6 linked regions of the Sus scrofa genome follow. The protein of the gene in region 3 interacts with the protein of the main gene of each other region in a pairwise test. Links are inferred from orthologs where the notes say so. Each region holds a gene or a part of one and is shown on either strand. Other genes may lie near its edges.

Region 1 (3,500 bases), on a different chromosome or scaffold from region 3:
TCACGTTAGCAGAGGGACTGTAGCTTTAGAATCCTAGAGACATTTATTTCTGTTTTGTTGAGTCTGCTGCTTGTTCTGTCAATACTTTGGTTTAAGACATTTTTGGAAATGGTGATTAAACAGCTTACACAGCAATATGAATTTCTTCCCACAGGTAAACTGTGAGACAGATTTTGTTTCCAGAAACTTAAAATTTCAACAATTGGTCCAGCAAGTAGCCCTGGGAACCCTGTTGCACTGTCAGAGCCTAAAGGATCCACTCTCCACGTATAGTAAAGTGAGTTTGGAGTTGTCTCCAACATGCTGGATTTGTTCCTATTCCAGTTTTTCAGACATCGTCATGTCTTACTTTCTTATTTCATGTCTCTACTTAAATGTTACCTCTCTGGAGAGGAGTACCTTTCTATTGTTTTATCCCCTTATCTTGCTTCATGTGAAATTTTTTGTTATAGTGCTTATATAGTTTTTGTTACAGTACATTTTTTTTTTTTTTTTTTTTTTTATTTTCCCACTGTACAGCAAGGGGGTCAGGTTATCCTTACATGTATACATTGCAATTACAGTTTTTCCCCCACCCTTTCTTCTGTTGCAACATGAGTATCTAAACATAGTTCTCAATGCTATTCAGCAGGATCTCCTTGTAAATCTATTCTAAGTTGTGTCTGATAAGCCCAAGCTCCCGATCCCTCCCACTCCCTCCCCCTCCCATCAGGCAGCCACAAGTCTCTTCTCCAAGTCCATGATTTTCTTTTCTGAGGAGATGTTCATTTGTGCTGGATATTAGATTCCAGTTAGAAGTGATATCATATGGTATTTGTCTTTGTCTTTCTGGCTCATTTCACTCAGGATGAGATTCTCTAGTTCCATCCATGTTGCTGCAAATGGCATTGTGTCATCCTTTTTTTATGGCTGAGTAGTATTCCATTGTGTATATATACCACATCTTCCGAATCCAATCATCTGTCGATGGACATTTGGATTGTTTCCATGTCCTGGCTATTGTGAATAGTGCTGCAATGAACATGCGGGTGCATGTGTCTCTTTTAAGTAGAGCTTTGTCTGGATAGATGCCCAAGAGTGGGATTGCAGAGTCATATGGAAGTTCTATGTATAGATTTCTAAGGTATCTCCAAACTCTTCTCCATAGTGGCTGTACCAGTTTACATTCCCACCAGCAGTGCAGGATGGTTCCCTTTTCTCCACACCCCCTCCAGCACTTGTTATTTGTGGACTTATGAATGATGGCCATTCTGACTGGTGTGAGGTGGTATCTCATGGTAGTTTTGATTTGCATTTCTCTTATAACCAGCGATGTTGAGCATTTTTTCATGTGTTTGTTGGCCATCTGTATATCTTCTTTGGAGAAATGTCTATTCAGGTCTTTTGCCCATTTTTCCATTGATTGATTGGTTTTTTTGCTGTTGAGTTGTATAAGTTGCTTATATATTCTAGAGATTAAGCCCTTGTCAGTTGCATCATTTGAAACTATTTTCTCCCATTCTGTAAGTTGTCTTTTTGTTTTCTTTTGGGTTTCCTTTGCTGTGCAAAAGCTTTTCAGTTTGATGAGGTCCCATGGGTTTATTTTTGCTCTAATTTCTATTGCTTTGGGAGACTGACCTGAGAAAATACTCATGATGTTGATGTCAGAGAGTGTTTTGCCTATGTTTTCTTCTAGGAGTTTGATGGCGTCCTGTCTTATATTTAAGTCTTTCAGCCACTTGGAGTTTATTTTTGTGCATGGTGTGAGGGTGTGTTCTAGTTTCATTGCTTTGCATGCAGCTGTCCAGGTTTCCCAGCAATGCTTGCTGAATAGACTTTCCTTTTCCCATTTTATGTTCTTGCCTCCCTTGTCAAAGATTAATTGACCATAGGTGTCAGGGTTTATTTCCGGATTCTCTATTCTGTTCCATTGGTCTGTCTGTCTGTTTTGATACCAGTACCACACTGTTTTGATGACTGTGGCTTTGTAGTATTTCTTGAAGTCTGGGAGAGTTATGCCTCCTGCTTGGTTTTTGTTTCTCAGGATTGCTTTGGCGATTCTGGGTCTTTTGTGGTTCCATATAAATGTTTGGATTGTTTGTTCTAGTTCTGTGAAAAATGTCATGGGTAATTTGATAGGGATTGCATTGAATCTGTATATTGCTTTGGGTAGTATGGCCATTTTTACAATATTAATTTTCCCAATCCAGGAACATGGAATTATCTTTCCATTTCTTTACATCTTCTTTGATTTCTTTGATTAAAGTTTTATAGTTCTCGGCATATAGGTCCTTTACCTCTTTGGTCAGGTGTATTCCGAGGTATTTGATTTTGTGAGGTACAATTTTAAAAAGTATCGTATTTTTGTATTCCTTTTCTAATGTTTCATTGCTGGTATACAGAAATGCAACTGACTTCTGAATGTTAATCTTATATCCTGTCACTTTGCTGAATTTATTAATCAGTTCAAGGAGTTTTGGGGTTGAGTCCTTAGGGTTTTCTAGGTATAGTATCATGTCATCTGCATACAGTGACAGTTTGATCTCTTCTCTTCCTATATGGATGCCTTTTATTTCTTTTGTTTGTCTAATTGCTGTGGCTAAGACTTCCAAAACGATGTTGAAGAGCAGTGGTGAGAGTGGGCATCCCTGTCTTGTTCCAGATTTGAGTGAGAAGGCTTTCAGTTTTTCCCCATTGAGTATTACATTTGCTGTGGGTTTATCATAAATGGCTTTGATTATATTCAGGAATGTTCCCTCTATACCCACTTTGGCGAGGGTCTTGATCATGAATGGATGTTGAACTTTGTCAAATGCTTTTTCTGCATCTATTGAGATGATCATATGATTTTTGACTTTTTTTTTGTTAATGTGGTGTATGATGCTGATTGATTTGTGTATGTTGAACCATCCTTGTGAACCTGGGATGAACCCAACCTGGTCATGGTGTATAATTTTTTTGGTATGTTGTTGGATTCGGTTGGCTAAGATTTTGTTGAGAATTTTTGCATCTATATTCATCAATGGTATTGGCCGATAGTTTTCTTTTTTGGTGGTATCTCTGTCTGGTTTTGGAATGAGGGTGATGGTGGCCTCATAGAATGTCTTTGGGAGTATTCCTTCTTCTTCTACCTTTTGAAAGAGTTTAAGGAGGATGGGCACCAATTCCTCTTTATATGTTTGATAAAATTCACCTGTGAAGCCATCTGGTCCTGGACTTTTATTTGTAGGGAGTGATTTTATGACCTCTTCAATTTCATTTCTAGTGATCGGTCTGTTCAGCTGGTCTGTTTCTGCTTGATTCAGTTTTGGCAGGCTGTAAGATTCTAGAAAATTGTCCATTTCTTCCAGATTGTCAAACTTGTTGCCATACAGTTGTTCATAGTATTCTCTTATGGTTTTTTGTATTTCTGCTGTATCCGTTGTGATTTCTCCTTTTTCATTTCTAATTTTGGTTATTTGGGTTCTTTCTCTCCTCTTTTTAGTGAGTCTGGCCAGGGGTTTGTCAATTTTGTTCACCTT
Region 2 (3,500 bases), on a different chromosome or scaffold from region 3:
ATTTAAAATTATTCTGAAAGAAATTCCACATAGGGTTTTCTAGTGCTTAGTATCTGGAGGTTAATTTTATGGGTCATGATAAAATTACATTTTGCTCAGGTGCGTTTTGAGGAACAAGTGCTAATGTCCTGTGTTAGACTGACTGAATTCAGGGCAGATTGGACTAACATACAGAAACAGGCTTAGAGCATCTGAAAAGGGCTTCTAGAGCGCCTGGAAAATATTTGTTATATATGCTGTAGATTTATGTTAAACAGCTTGTTAAAACTAAAACTGTTCTCTGAGCAAACTAATTTCTGCTTTTCTTATGTATTCTTTTTAGAACTGACATCTCAGTTGTTAGCTGCAGAAAATAAATGTAATCTTTTAGAAAAACAATTGGAATACATGCGTAATATGATAAAGCATGCAGAAATGGAGAGGACGTCTGTATTAGAGAAACAGGTATGTCACTTCACAGAGTCAGTCTCAAGAACAATTAAAGAGAGGAGTTCCTGTCGTGGCTCAGTGGTTAACGAACCTGATTAGTCACCATGAGGCTGCAGGTTCAATCCCTGGCCTCGCTTAGTGGGTTAAGGATCCGGCGTTGCCATGAGCTGTGGTGTAGGTCGAAGACGCGGCTCGGATCCCGAGTTGCTGTGGCTGTGGTGTGGGCTGGCAGCTACAGCTCCGAATTCAACCCCTAACCTGGGAACCTCCATATGCCACCAGTACGGCCCTAAAAAGACAGACAAAAAAAAAAGAGAAATTAAAGAGAAAATTAATGTAAAGACATTTTTTTCTCAGTGAGGAGTAATACTGCTGTCATAAACAATTCTTCTATCTTAAAAGATAATAGTACCAATAGTTCATTTTGAAAAACTGCTAGTGGAAGCTTTGAGAAAAATGTGATTTTTTTCTTTAAGCAAAACTATGAAGAGGAGTTTCCTTTGGGGGAGCTCCTCACACGTACTGCCGTATTCTCTGCACTCAGCTTTGATAGCTTCTGCTTGTGAACAGTGTTGACAGCCCAGGACTGAAATTACTCGGGATCAGTTATGGTGTCCAAAAATTTGTTTTGTCTTCATTGTTATTGCTGTATTTGATAGAGTTTTACTTAGAGTTTTTACTAAACTATACATTTAGTTGTGTTTTCAAGTCATGATAAATTCTTTCATACATTATTAAAAGTGTAAATAAGCATGTTATGTACCTCTCTACCCCTTGAGTTTGTTAGACTCAGCACATTTCAGGGTGATTCATACTTTGAAAAAACTCTCTACAATTGTTATTTTAACAAAAATATTTTGCTGTTTTCACACCAGAGGTATTTTTATTTAACCTGCAATATCAGTCTCAAATATATTTTTAAAAGCATATCTCCTTTTCCTATTAGGAACCTAGAATTTGAATTCCTTATGAATATCCCAGTTTCTAGCCATCTTAACTTTATGATGCAAAAGTTGACTGTTTATATGCTTAACATTTCGCTGGATACCATGCAGTATGAAAGAAATTAAATGCTTTCCACCTCAGTCAACTTTGCATCATAGCTGGAGATGTTAGACCTAAAAGAACAGTGTGAATGATAGCACAAGAACATTTTAAGTAGATATTTCAATAATTAATTCTCATGTGTGCTACAGGTCTCTACTATGCCACTGAATTTATTTGTGATCATATTTTTTTGTTTCCAGTTGGGTCCTCTTCAGCCCATCTATTTTTGTTGTTATTTTAATGTACCATTAAACTTTGGTTTTTATTTCCTCCTTTTATCTCTTTGAACACTATAAAAATTCCCAGTCTTGGAGTTCCCCAGTGGCCCAGCAGTTAAGGATGCAGCATTGTTACTGCTATGGCTTGTTGTCACTGCTGAGGCTCAGGTTTGATCCCTGGCTCAGGAACTTCCTCGTGCCATGAATGCAGGGCCTCCCCCCACCCAAAAGAAATCCCAGTCGTCTTTAAATTAACTGATTTTTCTTATGAGAACTGTATATGTATGTTTACATATTTTTTATGATGAGCCCATATTCTTTGGAATTATTTATATTGGGAATTCCATTCTTCTAAGTTGAGTAGGCAGCCTTATAAAGTGATGGTAGATTTGCCTTTGCTGAGGATTTCTGGGTTTCCCTGCTTCTGATCTGCATTTATGATGCCTTTTGGCTTGAGATTCATGAATTGGGCAGATGGTACCTTGTGTGAGATTTATGTCATAGTCCTGGTATGCCTTATACAGCAAGGCTAGTTTTGCCTCATCTAGTATTTGGCTTCAGTATTTGTTCAGTTGCTTTTGAATTCTTTATTTATTTATTTTTTGTCTTTTTGAGGGCCATACCCGTGGCACATGGAGGTTCCCAGGCTTAGGGGTCCAATCAGAGCTGTAGCCGCCAGCCTACACCACAGCCACACCAGAACTAAGCCACGTCTGCGACCAACACCACAGCTCACAGCAACACCGGATCCTGAACCCACTGAGCAAGGCCAGGAATCGAACCCGCAACCTCATGGTTCCTAGTCTGATTCGTTTCTGCTGCACCATGAGGGGAACTTTATCTTTTTTCATCTGCAGGTTTCCCTTTCTTGTCTTCAGATTTCCTGTGTAATTATTATTTCTGTGTTTTGTCTAATATTTTATGTGATGGGATGGGAAAGCAGATGGTCAGCTCAGTCTGCCACATGATTGGAAATGGTAAAACATGATGTACAGTAATATAGCAGCTGTCTTCATGGGGATACTCCAGTTCTCAAGTTAGAAAGCATCCATGAGACAACAGTGAGATGTCTTGACTAACACATCTATTAAACATATATATGTCTTTGAACTAAGCCCTGTTTTCATCATTCTATTTTGAATAGCCTGTTTAATAAGAATACTGAAAGTAAAATATGATTTTTGCCAATTTTTAGCTTAATGTATTATTTTAAGGGCCGTATCTATCTACTAAGGTGATAGGGAATTAATAGTTCACATAAATTCCTGAGAAATTTATTGCTTTATATTACTTGTCATATTCAGATTTCTGTTAGTAGGATACCACTTGCTATAGACTTGCTGTATATGAGCTCACATGCTTAGTGTTTTGGCTTTTTACCAGTAGACCCCAATTTCACATATTTCCTCTTCTTATCCTAGTTTAATGGTATATTCTGTGACTATCAGTCCTTAAATCTGATAGGTTCCAGTCTTTTCAAATCATTGACTAAACCTAAAAAAAAATATGGTGGATGCTTTGCATAGAATTCAGAGGAAGGGGAATTCTTGTCGTGGCACAGTAGGTAACAAATCCAATTAGGAACCATGAGGTTGCGGGTTCAATCCCTGCCCTTGCTCAGTGGGTTACGATCTGGCGTTGCCGTGAGCTGTGGTGTAGGTCGCAAACGCGGCTCAGATCCCGCATTGCTATGGCTCTGGCGTAGGCCAACGGCTATGGCTCCAATTGGACCCCTAGCCTGGGAACCTCCATATGCTGTGGGAGCGGCCCAAGAAATGACAAAAAAAAAAAAAAAAAAAAAGAATT
Region 3 (3,500 bases):
CTGTGTGGCTCAGCAACAGGACGCGTCCCCGAAACCCCAGGGCTGGCCCAGAGGGCCCGTGTGCACAGCTTGAGTGCAGAGAGGCCGTGTACCTGGACAGTTGGGCTGAGCACTATAGAAATGTTCTGGATGTTCATTTTTGTTTCCAGCTCCTTGGAGATCACATGGTCCATGTGCACGATGAGCCAGGAGATGAGGAGCTGGTTACACTCGGGCAGCTCCCACAAAAGACGCTGGAGCTCCTGTACCTTCTCACCCTCCGAGCTCCGCCCACAGGCCTCCTCAAAGCGGGGCGTGAGCTCCTTGGTGAGCAGGTTTTCAGGCAGGTCCCGAAGGTACTGCTTCAGCAAACTGGCCACAGTGTTGGGCTCATACTCCTCCAGGTTGGGAGACTCCTCTCTGTCATAGGCTGCTTTCAGCTCATCCACCTTGGATTTAATTCCTGAGAACATTCCAATTCAGATGAGAAGGAAAGTGTCAAGAGGAGAAAAAAAAAATCAAACATACAGCCACCTTTGCCACAGCACCCACCCCCCAGGGAGGTCTGAGAAGAGGCCCCAAGACAGTAACAAACCACTAATGGGGCTTTTTACCGGCACAGAGTTCCTCCATAGAGAAGACAAAAGACTATACTAGGAGGTTGACTTTAACCAAAAGTGAAATGATAATGAAAAAACTCAATATTCAGAAAAAAAAAATCAAAGCAACCAAATATGCCAATCAATTCAGGAAAAAAAAAATTTTTAACTTAAAGATAGGTACAAATTCTGGCAAAAACTAAACTATGCTCCAAGCATAAGCCTTGCTCTACACAAGGGGCCAACTGCTTTTTCGAACTAGTCACAAGACTAACACCATAAAATGCAACTTGGTACATGTAAGCCTGTTCCAAAAACTTGTTGGTAATGACTTTTTTAGAAGGTAAAGTTGTTCAATAAATGCAAAAGGTGAGTTCACTATCTATATAAACTCTTGTTGGTCCTCATTAAATAATACCCATCTGATTTTTAAGTTTAAATTCTTTGCATGTTTTCTTAATCTGAACCTAGGAACCAGCAAAAAAAAAAGGAAAATGTGGGTTACTAAAATTGAATTGTTTTGCTTTTCTTAGTAGACAGAAAGAAACATACATACACCAATGTTTTTCAGACACTATTTAATTAAGTCTTTAGCCCAATCTGCACTTAAGTGACCTAACTCAGTGACAGTGATGGCTCATGAGTACAAAGTAGCTTTCTGTGGTTTTTAACACTTAAAACTTTAGGCCAAGATTTACTGGTCAGCTATAAAAAAGGATGAAATTCTACCATTTGTAATAGCACAGATGGACCTAGATAGAGGTTGTTATGCTAAATGAAGTCAGAGGAAGACAAATACTTTATATGTGGAATCTAAAAAGATAAAACAAAGTAGTGAATATAACAAAAAGAAACAGACTCACAGATATAGAAAACAAATCAGTGGTACCAGTGGGGAAAGGGGGTGGGAGGGGCAAGATACAGGTGGGATTAAGAAGTACAAACTACCACGCATAAAATAAATAAGCTACAAGGACTGTACTGTACAGCAAAAGGAATATAGCCAACATTTTATAATAACTATAAATGGAACACAACATTTAAAAATAGTGAATCAGGAGTTCCCGTCGCGGCATAGTGGTTAACGAATTCGACTAGGAACCATGAGGTTGCGGGTTCGATCCCTGCCCTTGCTCAGTGGGTTAATGATCCGGCGTTGCCGTGAGCTGTGGTGTAGGTCGCAGATGGGGCTCAGATCCCGCGTTGCTGTGGCTCTGGCGTAGGCCGGGGGCTACAGCTCCGATTCAACCCCTAGCCTGGGAAACTCCATATGCCGCAGGAGCGGCCCAAAGAAATAGCAAAAAGACAAAAAATAAAATTAAAAAAAATTAAAAATAAAAAAAATAAAAAAATAGTGAATCAGCATGTTGTACTCCTGAAACACATGACACTATACATCAACTACGCGTCAATTAAAAAAAAAAAAAAAGGAGTTCCCTGTTGTGGCTCAGAGTTGATGAATCTGACTAGGGTCCATGAGGACTCAGGTTCTATCCCTGGCCTGCTCAGTGGGTTAAGGATCCGGAGTTGCCGTGAGCTGTGGTGTAGGTCGAAGATGCAGCTTGGATCTGGCATTACTGTGGCCGTGGTGTAGGCCGGAGGCTACAGCTCGGATTGGACCCCTAGCCTGGGAACCTCCATATGCCACGGGTGTGGCCCTAAAATGACAAAACAAAAATAAAAAACAACAGCAAAAAATCAAAAACAGGCCAATTACTGGAAACAAGCCACAAATTAAGGCTGACAGACTATAATGTAAATGACACTCCAGTGTCATTTAATTTGAAGAGAATTTTATAATCAACTATGCTTACCTCTGGGCTCTGAAATTTCTTATCTTATGTGTAAACCTTTCAATGGGACCACAATACATCAGTAACTTATCCAGCACTGGTGAAATAAAATCAGCAACTCTGAGTATGAAAATAACAATATGAATCTTTTCTTTTTTTTAATGGAGGCATCCTCGGCATATGGAAATCCCCAGGCCAGAGACTGAACTCTCATCTGCGCGGCAACCCAAGCCACTGCAGTCAGATTCTTATCCCACTGTGCCACAAGAGGAATTCCAACAATATGAATCTTATTTTTTTCACAATCTTTATCTTGAGGCAGGAAAGTTAGAAACTAATTCCTATTTTCCTACTTTCATAAGTAACACATGGTGACTCCTAACTTTAACTGAAATTCTTGGAGTTCCTGTTGTGGCTCGGTGGGTTAAGAATCCAACCAGTATCCATGAGGAGCCGGGTTCAATCCTTGGCCTCTCTCAGTGGGTTAAGGACCCGGCACTGCTGTGAGCTGTGGTGTAGGTTGCCCACGTGGCTCAGATCTGGCATTGCTGTGGCTGTGGTATAGGTCAGCAGCTGCAGTTCTGATTCGACTCCCAGCCCGGAAACTTCCACATTCCATGGGTGCAGCCTAAAACGGAAAAGAAAAGAAATTCTTGACAAAGACCTCCTCCCTCTCTCGCATATATATTTCACAGATTTCAAATTTTCCCCCAGCAATGCCTGTTCAGAAGATTGCACAGTGAACAATTTAGAGTAAGAATTTGGTTTGTTATCAACATGTTTTCCCTGCAAAAACTGGACGCTTCAAATACAGCGTCCCAGGTACGGAAAGACAATAAGCAAAATTTGTTAGTTTTACAACTGGAACTTACATGTGAATAAATGAGAACCAAAGTTCTCTAGCAGAAACCAGTATTATCAGCCTTCAAAAAGAAAAGTCACAGCCATAACTCTGTAGTCCACAGAGGGCTGAACACAGCACACTGCCAGAGCTTCAAAAATAAATACAAAATTGATCAAAGCAGAAGCTCAGTCCCCAAGGAGCCAACCAACAGGGGAGCAGCTCAGTTTGAATGCTCTGACACATGGAGAGAGGAGTTTCACAACTCTGGCTCCGAAAGAGGGCAAA
Region 4 (3,500 bases), on a different chromosome or scaffold from region 3:
TGTTAAGGATCTGGTGATGCTGTGAGCTGTGATGTAAGTTGCAGACGTGGCTTGGATCCCGAGTTGCTGTGGCTCTGGGGTAGGCCGATGGCTACAGCTCCGATTCGACCCCTAGCCTGGGAACCTCCATATGCTGCAGGGGCGGGCCTACAAAAGACAAAAAAAAAAAAAAAAAAAAAAAGTAAAGCAGTGCTCTAACTAGTCTCTGACACTCCAGTGTGCTTTCCCTCAGTTCGTCCTCCACTCCTTGGCCAGATCAATTCTTCTAAAACCTTCAATCGAAAAATAAACTTATTGAATATTTACTTTGATCAAACACTACAGATATAATAGTGAACAAGCAAATAAGGTCCATGCCCTAATAAAGCTGAGAGTCTAGTGCCTAAGAGGTAAGTAAACAAAGGAATTAAAATACAGTGTGAGAAGTTCTATGCAAAGGAGTAGAGATGCTACAGAAATAAGTCTGAAGTTTCTTTCTTTCTTTTTTTTTTTTGTCTTTTGTCTTTGTTGTTGTTGTTGTTGTTGCTATTTCTTGGGCCGCTCCCACGGCATATGGAGGTTCCCAGGCTAGGGGTCAATCGGAGCTGTAGCCACCGGCCTACGCCAGAGCCACAGCAATGCGGGATCCGAGCCACGTCTGCAACCTACACCACAGCTCATGGCAACGCCAGATCGTTAATCCACTGAGCAAGGGCAGGGACCGAACCCGCAACCTCATGGTTCCTAGTCGGATTCGTTAACCACTGCGCCACGACGGGAACTCCTGAAGTTTCTTATCCTTGCTTACTCTTTAAAAATTCCCTGTATCTTTTAAAAATTCTTCCTTCTTAGTATAATATAGGAAATGCTCTGTCCTTTCCCACCTCTTCAATTTCCTTTGCCATCTCTCTAGTTGTACTGAACTCAATGGTTTTTCCCTGAAGAAAATGCCAGGCTTACTTACTGTGGATGCCTTTCTGGTGGTAATGCCCTCTCTCCCCAAGAAACAGCATTTTATCTTTCAAGTCTATGCTCAAGTCTAACTACCTTCATTTCCTTAGTCCTTTTCCATGTGATCCCTGACTTTACTAGCTAGGAAAGCTGTGCCAAAGCATTTTACAAATATGTCTACTGCAGCACCTCTATGATTGTTGTTTACAGATTTGTCTTTCCCACTTGAGACAAGAGACCAACTCATTATCCAGTACATGTACTTCTGTTGGCACGTTAGATAAAATAAATACTGGAATATTCAGTATTCAATATTTCAGTATCTTTGATGATTAGGAAACCATCTTTTAACCTGCAAATAACCAATTTCATTGTAAGAATCTAATTCAGAAAAATCAACCAAATTCATCATGTAAAAAGGTCAGTCACATAAAACTAAGCTAGAATGCAGACTCTATCTCAGAACATACTAGTTTTATGCAGACGAAAATAACGTCAACCAAGGAGGGGGGCAGAAGTCATCTAACACTTCCTTCATCTAACACATTCAGGGGGATGCAGCGAGGTCACTCTGAGTCCTCTGCTAGATCCAGGACATACATGGACTTCTCCTATCTCTCAATCCATTGTGCTTCGCACTAAAGCCTCCTTTGTCAAGACGTTATCATTTGGTTCACTTTTAAGCTTCTTCAAAAAATAAATCATTAGAATTCTTATCTTCTAAAATAAGACCTGGCTTCCCTGAATTAAATGTACATTAAGAATAATAATTATGAAATCCTCCACCTTCAAAATAATTCTAGAATTGAATCGAATATCTAACAGACAAATTGATAGAGGGGACTATAACAACTGATGTTTAATAATGAATACCTACGAGAATTACCTGTGAGGGCTGTGGTCTGGGAGGCACTGCAGGAGGTTGGGCAACAACTCCAGCCTGTTGCTGTCCTGTGTGAACACATAGTCTTCTTTTTAGTAAATATATACTTACTTTCCTAGTAGAACAGACAGGCTGAACGTGATCAAATGATAAAGATTTCTAAGACCTCAGTTCTTCTCTTGTTCTATCGCCTGAGGCATTCTTGACTTCTTGCTCCCTGTTCCCACAACGCTATTCATTTTTTGGTTTGCTTCCCATATTTCTGACTGCTCTTTAGCTATCAAACACGAAGACTTCCAAGTTTTCTCTTTTCATTTAATGCTCCAGTCTATCATTTCTATGTAAACGATTCTCAAATAATACATCAATCTTTCTTGGCCCACAAGTCCAATGGCCTGTTGATTATTTCCCTTTCTTAGACATTCCAAACTCATAACATCCAAAACAGAACACTGTCACCCTCTGTTCTTCTAAAATTTCTAGTGGCATCTTTCAGGGTCTCATCTTTATCATTTGAACTCAAAAATATTTTATTTTATTTATTTATTTTTTGTCTTTCTGCTATTGCTTGGGCCGCTCCCGCGGCATATGGAGGTTCCCAGGCTAGGGGTCTCACTGGAGCTGTAGCCACTGGCCTACGCCAGAGCCACAGCAACGTGGGATCCAAGCCGTGTCTGCCACCTACACCACAGCTCACGGCAACACCGGATCCTTAACCCACTGAGCAAGGCCAGGGATCGAACCCGCAACCTCATGGTTCCTAGTCGGATTTGTTAACCACTGCGCCACGATGGGAACTCCAAACTCAAACATATTTTAGCTAAGTCATTAAAGAGAAGAAATTCCCTCTCATCTGCTATTTTTTCAATTCAAAATTTTTCTTCAATCAAAAAAATAAGATATATAAAGAGAAAATAAAGTACAATACAGTGTACCTTTTTAACTTTATATTAAAAAACTTGGTATCTTTAATTTAATATAGCATATATTATGGTTCTCTAACCCCTACCTGTGGTGACTGAAAAGGTCCGATTCATATCTAAAGATGATGATCTAGAATGAGAGGGCTGAGGCCTTGGAGGGGGAGGTGGTGGTGCAGTGTTATCAGGCGACGTTCCTGACTGAGACCTGCAAAATTCCCCATTACAATGGTTGTGCTATTGGTATTGGAACTTTTCTTTTCAAGATTTCAAACTTAGCTAAGCAGCAAAGGATTTTATTGGTGTGACATTTTCAACAGATGATATACAGTATCATAATAAACCAAAGAGTACTGCCTATGACGTGCATTCAACTAGTGTTTAATATGGCAAATAAACTTTATAAAGTATAATTATACCTATAACATTTCAAAAAAATAAGTTATTAACATGAATTGAAGATAAACTTCTAATGTAGTGTAATGTTTTCACATTCAGTTAAAAGTAATATTAGCCCAAAAAACTATTTTCATAAAAGAGAAACTCTACTTTAGATATGGTTAGCTTTCAACTTAAAGTCTGATAAGCAGAGGTAGAATCCAGCTCAACTATGTGAAGTGCCCATTCCTGTGTTACCAAAGGCCACCTCATTTTATAGGTGATTACACTCATGCTCAATTCTCTCTCAAGATTCACTAATTGGCCAGTGAAGTCTTCCATATTCTGAAAAGAGTCTTAAAGATTCTGGAAGTCTGATCCTCATAGGA
Region 5 (4,142 bases), on a different chromosome or scaffold from region 3:
AGGTAACACAGACAGTAGCAGCATCGGGGGCAGTGGCAGGTAGATTTTATTGGCCTGGGACTGAGGCACACCAGGGATCCTCCCCCACAGTAGGGGGCAGGGGCTGGGAGCGAGGTTGATAGACTCTGATGGTCACTTGTGGTAGAATCGCGGGTTCTGGCTGTGCTGGATGAAGGGGAGCCGAGGGCCAGGCTGGCTGGTGGTTGCAAAGCCCGACTGGCAGCAGTAATGAGAGGAGGGCTTTGTCAGTGCGCGCCCTTCCCCTTCCTTCTACTCCCGCAGGGGACTGACAGCCATGGCAGAGGAGGAGGGAAAAAGGGGGGCAGGGACCACCTGTCCTACCCAGTCCTTTTTTCAACTTGGTGATGTAGGCATTCTGGTGGGCTTACCTTTCCTGCTGGTTGCATCTGCACAGGGAGCTGGGGTGAGGCAAGCAGTCCAGGGGCTGGATGCAGAGCTTGGGGATGCATGGGGCGTAGGGAGGACTGCAGAGAACAAAGTCAGCTGAGGCAGCCTGGGGCTCCCCTTAGTGTGGGCAGCCCTTCCCCTGACTTCCCAAGATTTTACTCACTGAGTCAGAGAAGCCAGTTTGTTGGTTAGCGTGTTCCATCTGCTTTTGTAAGGACAGGGCGCCACCGGGCTGGAGGAAGCCTAGGTGGGGAGGAAGGGTGTGTGAGGTGAGTAGAGAAAGGAGGCGAAGAGGAAGGGAGGAGGACCGCTGGAACTGGGCCCCTGCGTGGTGTCTGTCTACCATCACCTGTCTGGGTGGGCTGAAAGTGGCTGTGCACAGCATAGGGCTGTGGCTGTGGCTGAGACAGGTACTGCACTGCAGGAAATGCCGAAGGTGCTGAGGAAGGCAGGAGACAGCCATTAGGACCTCCTGGTAGCCTGTTCACAACACTCCTCCCTTAGAGCCTTGAGGAATGCCCCTCCTCCCCTTTGCCCAAGGCTCACCTCTGAGCTGCTGACTAGGACTATAGGCAGGCTGGGTGGGTCCATAGTGAGGTGGGGGCTGAGCAGTCCCATAGGCGCCGCCGGGGCTGCCTTGGAACTGCCCATGCTCCGGGGTCCCTGCGAAAGCAGCTGCTGAGCCCACGTAGTGTCGGTTCTAAGGAGGGAGGACGAGAACCACTGTAAACTCCATGAAGCAAAAACTTGAGTGACTGAAAGCCCCATTTCCCCAACACACTCATGACTTGAATGCTGGTTGGGTAAGGATGCGAGGCCGGCTGGAAGTAGCGGGAGTAAATGACAGCCTAGATACCCAGTCCTCCTGCTCTTACTGTAAGCACTTGGGGGCCGAACATCTGTTTGGCTCTGTCAGCTGCCATGAGGGTGCCTGGCCGATTGTGTCCTCCGGGGCTCCCTAGAGGGAGACGGGCTTGTGATGCTGCAAGAAGAGGCTGCAACCCCCAGGAAGGCCCATCTGACAAGTGGTTTCTTTAATCCTCACCCTGCATGCTGAGGAGGTGAGTTCCTGTGTGAACAGTCAGGCCTTGCTGGTATGCTGCCGATGTCAGAGTGGTCAGGTCACTGAACAAGAGGCAGGCACATCAGATCAAAGGCAAGCCTTTTCCCCTCTCCGCTCCCGCAAAAAACTTGATCTCTTGTTACCTGATCCCAGTTAGACTTTGGGCCCCAATTTTATTTTTAGCTGCCCAATCTCACCTCTGCTCCTTCCGCCTCCGTTTTTCTTCCTCATGTAAAACTTTCTTGAGCTGCAGGAAAAGCTGGTGCTTCTCTTCCTGGAGGGCCGAAAGCTTCTCCTGCAACTTCAGGATCTGGGAAGGAAGGAGAGGGATGAAAGCAAGAGAGCCAAGGGCAGAAAGGGCTGGGGAGAGATCAAGGGACTGCTTACTTGTTCCTTGGTCTCCTCTAGTGACATTCTCTCTTCCATTTCCTTTTTTTTCCTTCTCTCCTGCTCTTCCTTCATCTTTTGTTCCATCATCTTGTCCACCTCTTCTTCCTCTGGAAGAGTCAGAGTCAGGCAGAATGGGGAAGTGGCAGAGTGGTTAAAAGATTAGAATGTTAGCGATTGAAAGCCAGCAAAAACTGGTATCCCACTACACTTGGTACGAACTCTTTCCCTCTAAAAGAAACAGGTTTGCCCACCACTGCAAGAGGACACTGGGGACAGGGAAGTTTGTTAGGTGCTCTCCAAGGTCCTTGCCAGCTCACGGTTCTGGAGTTTAGATCTGGCCTCAGACTCCCGCCACGTCGGGGCTATCGGTCCCTCCTCTAGCTGTGGCCGCCGCGCAGGGTCTGCCCGTAGGTCGGGGTCAGCCCCGGGAGAGCAGCGCGCCCCGGGCCGTGCGTCCTCCCGCTCTGGCCCCAGCTCACCCTGCCGCTTGCGCTCCCGCTCCATCATGATGTGCCGGTGCAACGCCCTGGCCATGGCGTTGGAAAGCTTGGGGCGCTCCAGGAGCGCAGGCATGGTGCTGCTGGGGGCGCTCGGGCCGTGGACGCCCGGCTCTGTCACTGGCTGCCAGACCTCAGACCGGGCCTGCGGGGAGGCGGGCGCTCAGAGGGAGCGGACCAGGCCGGGGCGGAAGCCACTCGCCCGCCGCCCCGGTCACGTGCCTGCCGCCGGGCCGGCCTAACAGCGCGGCTCCTCCGCGAGCGCGGGCGGGGGTCTCGGCCTCGGCGCTCCCGCTCCCTGCCCGCTACCCGGGCGCCGGCCCCTCCCTACCCGTCTTCTCGTCGCTTTCTCCGCGGCCTCCCGAGCGCCTGGGCCGTGGCGTCACATCCGGCCGCTGGGCCGAATCCTTCCGGAGTCGAGGCTGTCGCGGCGCTCGCGGGCCGGCGGGGCGGGGCGGGAAGGCGGAAGCGCGGGCGACGGGTGCCCGCGGCGTCCAAACGCCTCCGCTGCGCCCCGCCCGGCGTCGACCCCGAGGGCGGAGCCCCTGACGTGGCGGGGCCGGGTCTCCTCCCGGGTCGGGGCGGGGGGGACCGAGAGGCGCGCGCGCGAGAGGCCAAGGCGGCTGCTCTGAGACGGCGTTTATTGGCTCCTTAGAAATCAGAGTCAGTAACAACTGTACAGAGGCCCCGACCCGCGCCCGCCTTCCCCACTCCCGCCCGGCCCGGAAAAGCAGCTTCGTGTGGGGCGCGGGGAGGCGCCTCTGGCCTTCACAGTAACCAGGAACAGAAACGGAAATAAATTAAGTGTAGGGGGAGGAGTGGCGGGGAGGCGCGCTCCCCAGATCAGTGCATGGAGAGGGTTCCCCAGGGCCGGCGGCCGGACCCCTCGCCGCCCTCGCCTCGAGGGGCTGTCCAGTCCCGGCCCCGGGCGCTCCTCTGCGAGCCCGCCTACATGCTCCTGTGCATCTGCCAGGCTGAGCACCGTGCATGCCGCGCGTCACTGGAATGAGGTGGAGGCAGTCGTCACTCAGAGTCCACGGGCCCAAGGCCCTGCTGTGCTTGTCGTAGTGCGGTGTCACCCCTCATTCCACCCGTACCAGCAGGGCATAGAGGAGCGTGGCCCCCTTCTCCTTGGTCACCCACTCGAGTTCAGCTGGGCTGAAGTGAGGGTCGGGAGGCTCTCTGAGGGCAGCAGAAGGGGGCCCGGGGGTGTAGGAGCCAGGGCGCACGCACACCTGGAACGCCACCTGGGCCTGGTGCGTCCGCTGGGATTTGGGGTCCCGGAATCTGGCAGGCAAGAAGCAGAAACGGGACAGTGAGGCCTCTGCTCCCAGTACCCCTCGCTCTTGCTGGCTGCAACCACCGCCCTGACGGTGACCGCGAGCCTGAGCAGCTGGCCTTGCTGTTGCCAGGCATCAGCCCCTCCTTACTGGGACTTGGCTCCGCCCTTTCCTCCCAAGGGTCTTCCTCCCATGCCCGCTCCCCTCGCTCCCTCCCCTCCCCTCTCCAGGCCTTTGCTCAAATCCCACCTTCTTCTTTTTTTAGGCCCGTTCCCATGGCATAAGGAGATTCCCAGGCTAGGGGTCTAATTAGAGCTGTAGCCACCGGCCTACGCCAGAGCCACAGCAAGTGGGATCCGAGCCACATCTGCAACCTACACCACAGCTCACGGCAACGCCGGATCCTTAACCCACTGAGCAAGGCCAGGGATGGAACCCGAAACCTCACGGTTCCTAGTCGGATTCATTAACCACTGAGTCACGACGGGAACTCCAAATCCCACC
Region 6 (4,048 bases), about 95 Mb from region 3:
CGTCCCCGGGGTCCCAAACCCCCACGTCTGGAAATCTGTCTCCATCTGCTCTTAAGCAACCAGAGAGCCTCAGAGGGAAAGTGTGAACTTGGGTGGAAAATTCTGGAAAAGCTACACTGAGTGGGAGTGAGAGTCGAGAGGAACTTCCACCTCTGATGTGTTTCAAACCGGGTGAGTGCCGAGACCTCTCGGTGACCTGCGTGGCTGGACTAATTACCAATGTTATCAGGCGGATGACAGACGTGCCCCGAACTTCCTCTGTTTGATAGATTCCGCTGCAAACACTCAAGTTCAGGCTCATGCCTGCTGCTTTCAGTACTGCCCTATTCTTCCACGAGGCCACTCCTGGCCTCCCAACTCCTCTGGCCTGTCACACGCTTCCGAGCTCAACCAGGTCAGCGTGCTCACTGAGCCCTGGCCGGGTGACCTGGGGCAGGGGGAGCGCCCCTCCTGCTGGACCACACGGGGCGCAAAACCCCTCTCCTCTCCAGCAGCGGTGCAGAAAACAACATCGCCTCCTTCCCTGCTCGGGTTTCAGAGGAGGACACGAGAACGGAGCTGCTTACCTTCCTCGCCGCCGCCCCTGGGGAGCTCCAGCCCGTGGGTCCCTGGCGGGTGAGCCCTTGGCCAGCACACACCAGGGTCCCGCACTCCGTGCAGGCGCCGATGATCAGCTGTCGCCCATCGTCCACGAGCAGGCTGTGGCTCGCTCGAAGGGTGTACAGAAACAAGGGCAGCCGGGCCACCCGCACGGCCTTGAGCCCGAGACACCGCTTCTTCTCCTGCTGGCAGAAGAAGCACACGAATATCTCCACTTGGTACTGCCGTGACCAGGGGCTGATGGCGTGGGGGGCGCTGCGGGCCTCGTGCTGCAGCCACTGGCCCAGCAGGTCATGGTAACAGAGCACGCAGGTGGCCACCAGGCCGGTGGAGTCGGCAGGCCTGGCGCGCGGGGCCGGCGGGTAGACAGTGAGGAAGGGGAAGAAGGGCTCCTTCTCGCCCAGGCGGCTGGAGGGGTTCACGTTGAGCTGGAACTCCTTGCCGGGGCCCAGCTCGGCCCCGCAGATGTAGCAGACGGAGGCCGGGCCACCCTGGGCCGAGGCGGGCGGCTCGCAGAGCGCAGGGTCCGAGGCTGAGAAGGCCTGGTGGTACCGGCCCAAGAAGCCCTGCACAGAGGTGATGAGCTCCTCGTTCTGGCAGGCCCGGTACAGGGCCCACACGTCCTCCAGGACGCTGAAGCACTTGGGGCAGCTGCGGACCTCACAGCGCTTGTTGGGGCCCTGGGCGTTGGGCGGGCAGGGCAGGAGGCTGAGAAACGGGAAATGCATGGAGCCCCTGGCGTTGCCGTTGAGGGTCCTGCAGGCCACGGCCCGGGCATCCCGCGTACAGTCCTCCCCGCAGAGGTAGCAGGCCTCTGGCAGGGCCCCGGCAGGCGGGCCCTCTTCCCTGGGGAGCCTCCTGCCCTTGGAGGCCATGCCGGGAGCGTGGCTGTTCAGGGGCACCACGTAGAGCCGCTGCAGGACCGGCACGTTGGCCAGTTCGAAGCTTTGCCACTGCTGCATGAGGGAGGAGAAGCAGCAGGGGCACACCAGGGTGCTGCCACCCTCGCTGATGGGCTGCGCCCCCGGGGGCGGGCTGTGCAGCCACAGGAAGGGGAAGAAGGGCGCCTGGGCCAGCTTCTCCTGCTTCTGCACGTGGATCTGGTGCTGCGAGGCCGGGGACAGCGCACACCCACAGATGTAGCAGCAAAGGCCCTCTGGTGGTGCAGCCCGGCTCTCCAGGGGAGCCCGGGGGGCACGGCCCCCGCCAGCGGCGTCCTGGTCTCTGGGGCAGCAGGGGCCTGGGAGAGGCTGCTCCTTGCGGTCCTCCTCCTCGCTGGTGATGTTGACGTCACTGTCCTCAGAAGCGCGCGTCTCCGCCAGCGGTTTGCTCTCGGCAGTCTTGGCGGCCCTGCCCAGAGGGGCTCCTTTCACGCCCTCTGCAGGGGCGCCTTGGACCGGAGGCCTTTGCCAAGGGTCCGGAAGGCCCCTCAGGACGCTGGCCCGGGCCTCTGGGGCCCAGGGCCTCCCAGCGCCCTTGCGCCGGCGCCGGATGCCGGCCCTGGGCTCCCCGTCCACGTGGAGCTTCGAGGGGATCCCGTCGTCCTCCAGGTCCCCCGGCGTGGGGGTCTCCGCGCCCAGTCCCGGAGGGGGTCCCGGCGCCGGCCTCCACTCCGGGCAGCGGCCCCCGCGAGGCCCGGGCCCGGGGGCGGCCCGCGCCGCTGGCGCCCCGTCCTGGCGGGGACTGGCGGCGTCGCGCGCGGCGGGGTCGGGCTCGGAGAAGGGGTCTGTGTCCGACAGCTCCGACAGCTCGGAATCTCGAGGCTCCTCGGGGGCCGCGCGGGGCCCGGGGCCGCCGCCGCCGTCTTCGTCGTCGTCGGCCGCGCCGCCCAGCGCGTAGGCGACGTTCCACTCGCGGGGGGCCCCGGCGCCCCCGCGGCGCCCGCCCGCGCCCGCGTCGCACTGGTGGGGCCGCTTGAGCCAGTACATGCGCTTGTCCACGGGCGTGCGGGCGCGCTCGAAGGCGGCCCACTGCTCGCCCAGGAAGCAGCGGCACACGGCGCACACCAGCACGCAGCCGTCGGCCGGGGACAGCTCGCGCGCGCCGGGCGCCGGCTCCTGCTGCTGCAGGAACGGGAAGAAGGGCTGCGCCGGGGCCCCCGCGCCCGCCGCCGCCGCCGGCTGCTTCACCTGCAGCTTCAGCTCCTTGCCGCGCCCGATGCCGCCGCCGCAGATGAAGCAGGAGAGCGGCGCGCCGCCGCCGCCGCCCGCCGCCCGCTCGCCCACGGCTGCCATGAGCCGCTGCTTGCGGGAGACCGGCGCCGGCCGCCCGCTCATGGCCGCGCCGCGCCGGCCCCCGCGCGCCCCGGGCCGCCCTCACCGCCCGCCGCCGCCGCCGCCGCCGCGCCCAACTTGGAGCATGTGTGCGCGCCGCAAAGTTTGGCGGCGGGCGGCCGGCGCGGGCGCGGGCGCTCGGCCGCTCGCAGGGGCGCCCCCCCCGGCCGGCCGAGCCCCCGGCGGCGCCGCGGCGAGCGCGCCCGGAACGCAGCGGCGGCGGCGGGCCCCGGGCGGCTGGAGCGGCAGCCGCATGTGCGAGCTCCGGCGCCTGCCAAAGCGTTGGGTCATTTAATTGGGGAGGAGGGAGGAGGGGAGGGGAGGGGAGGGGAGGGGAGGGGAAGGGCGGGAGGGCGGGAGCGCGGCGGGCGGGGGACTCCCTCCCTCGCGCTCCCTCCCCTCCCTCCCCTCCGCCTCCCTCCTCCTCCTCCACCACCTCCTCCTCCCTGCCTCCCTCCCAACCCCCCCCCGCCCCCCCCCCGGTCCCAAACTGCGCACAATAGCTCGCCGGCTCCTCTATCTATTTTGTGTCCAGCCGGGAGCCGCGCTCGGTGATTCATTGCCCCAATTAGGGGGCTCTCTCCAGCGCGCCAGGCTCGAGCCGTCTGAAGGGTCTCCTCCGGGACCCGCGAAAACCCATCAGCCGCTAGAGCTGGTCTTTAAGTAAAGGTCAGGCAGGACGCCGGAGGAGCCAGGTAAGGACGCGGCCGGCGTCCCCGGAGAGCCCGCCGAGGAAGGGCAGCTCTCTAGAGGAGGGAGGCTGCCCAGTGAGCTGGGCTGTTGCCGGCCCTCTCCCCATTCCAAAGGGTCTCAGCACCCGCCCCCCACCCCCATCTAAAGGGCCCTTTACAGCCCTGAGGAGTCCTGGATCCGGGGTATCTTTCAGGGCCCAGGGTTCTAATTTTGGTGACAGGGAAGAGGGGCTGTCTCCTGGTGGCCTGAACACCTTAGTGAATGCACCAGCCATCCTGGGGACAGACTCGGCTGCCCCGCCCCTCCCCACTGCTGGCCAGGGACAAAAAGGGTCCCGTGTGTCTAGGCTGTGTGTTCCAGGGCGATGACTCAACAAGTCTGGGCCTTTCAGGGGATTAACTGGTTCCAAGTCACACGTGTAGATCATGTATTTCTTAAACACACAGAGAGAGACCTTAGCATGCGCCAGGTGCAGAGTCTAA

What was found.
Region 1: the proteins of RALBP1 (region 3) and TSFM interact in binary tests that used the Homo sapiens proteins (3 or more experiments, as listed by UniProt). The two-hybrid records come from large-scale screens. The link is inferred for Sus scrofa from reciprocal best matches to the Homo sapiens genes RALBP1 and TSFM.
Region 2: the proteins of RALBP1 (region 3) and CEP57 interact in binary tests that used the Homo sapiens proteins (3 or more experiments, as listed by UniProt). The two-hybrid records come from large-scale screens. The link is inferred for Sus scrofa from reciprocal best matches to the Homo sapiens genes RALBP1 and CEP57.
Region 4: the proteins of RALBP1 (region 3) and REPS1 interact in binary tests that used the Homo sapiens proteins (3 or more experiments, as listed by UniProt). The link is inferred for Sus scrofa from reciprocal best matches to the Homo sapiens genes RALBP1 and REPS1.
Region 5: the proteins of RALBP1 (region 3) and GPS2 interact in binary tests that used the Homo sapiens proteins (3 or more experiments, as listed by UniProt). The two-hybrid records come from large-scale screens. The link is inferred for Sus scrofa from reciprocal best matches to the Homo sapiens genes RALBP1 and GPS2.
Region 6: the proteins of RALBP1 (region 3) and GSE1 interact in binary tests that used the Homo sapiens proteins (3 or more experiments, as listed by UniProt). The link is inferred for Sus scrofa from reciprocal best matches to the Homo sapiens genes RALBP1 and GSE1.

The regions. Positions count from the first base shown.
Region 1 is NC_010447.5:23,076,087-23,079,586, forward strand, and holds part of TSFM (elongation factor Ts, mitochondrial), read left to right. Parts: intron 1-154; coding exon 155-277; intron 278-3,500. UniProt on the Homo sapiens protein: Associates with the EF-Tu.GDP complex and induces the exchange of GDP to GTP. It remains bound to the aminoacyl-tRNA.EF-Tu.GTP complex up to the GTP hydrolysis stage on the ribosome.
Region 2 is NC_010451.4:27,837,070-27,840,569, forward strand, and holds part of CEP57 (centrosomal protein of 57 kDa), read left to right. Parts: intron 1-322; coding exon 323-444; intron 445-3,500. UniProt on the Homo sapiens protein: Centrosomal protein which may be required for microtubule attachment to centrosomes. May act by forming ring-like structures around microtubules. Mediates nuclear translocation and mitogenic activity of the internalized growth factor FGF2, but that of FGF1.
Region 3 is NC_010448.4:98,567,946-98,571,445, forward strand, and holds part of RALBP1 (ralA-binding protein 1), read right to left. Parts: intron 443-3,500; coding exon 93-442; intron 1-92. UniProt on the Homo sapiens protein: Multifunctional protein that functions as a downstream effector of RALA and RALB. As a GTPase-activating protein/GAP can inactivate CDC42 and RAC1 by stimulating their GTPase activity.
Region 4 is NC_010443.5:25,554,283-25,557,782, reverse strand, and holds part of REPS1 (ralBP1-associated Eps domain-containing protein 1), read right to left. Parts: intron 2,942-3,500; coding exon 2,823-2,941; intron 1,882-2,822; coding exon 1,817-1,881; intron 1-1,816. UniProt on the Homo sapiens protein: May coordinate the cellular actions of activated EGF receptors and Ral-GTPases.
Region 5 is NC_010454.4:52,664,844-52,668,985, forward strand, and holds GPS2 (G protein pathway suppressor 2), read right to left. Parts: upstream 2,801-4,142; 5' UTR 2,690-2,800; exon of another isoform or gene 2,581-2,689; intron 2,504-2,580; 5' UTR 2,435-2,503; coding exon 2,341-2,434; intron 1,969-2,340; coding exon 1,859-1,968; intron 1,782-1,858; coding exon 1,669-1,781; intron 1,534-1,668; coding exon 1,454-1,533; intron 1,367-1,453; coding exon 1,284-1,366; intron 1,109-1,283; coding exon 955-1,108; intron 848-954; coding exon 758-847; intron 652-757; coding exon 572-651; intron 486-571; coding exon 390-485; intron 217-389; coding exon 133-216; 3' UTR 26-132; downstream 1-25. UniProt on the Homo sapiens protein: Key regulator of inflammation, lipid metabolism and mitochondrion homeostasis that acts by inhibiting the activity of the ubiquitin-conjugating enzyme UBE2N/Ubc13, thereby inhibiting 'Lys-63'-linked ubiquitination.
Region 6 is NC_010448.4:3,654,765-3,658,812, forward strand, and holds the start of GSE1 (genetic suppressor element 1), read right to left. Parts: upstream 2,801-4,048; 5' UTR 2,529-2,800; coding exon 567-2,528; intron 1-566.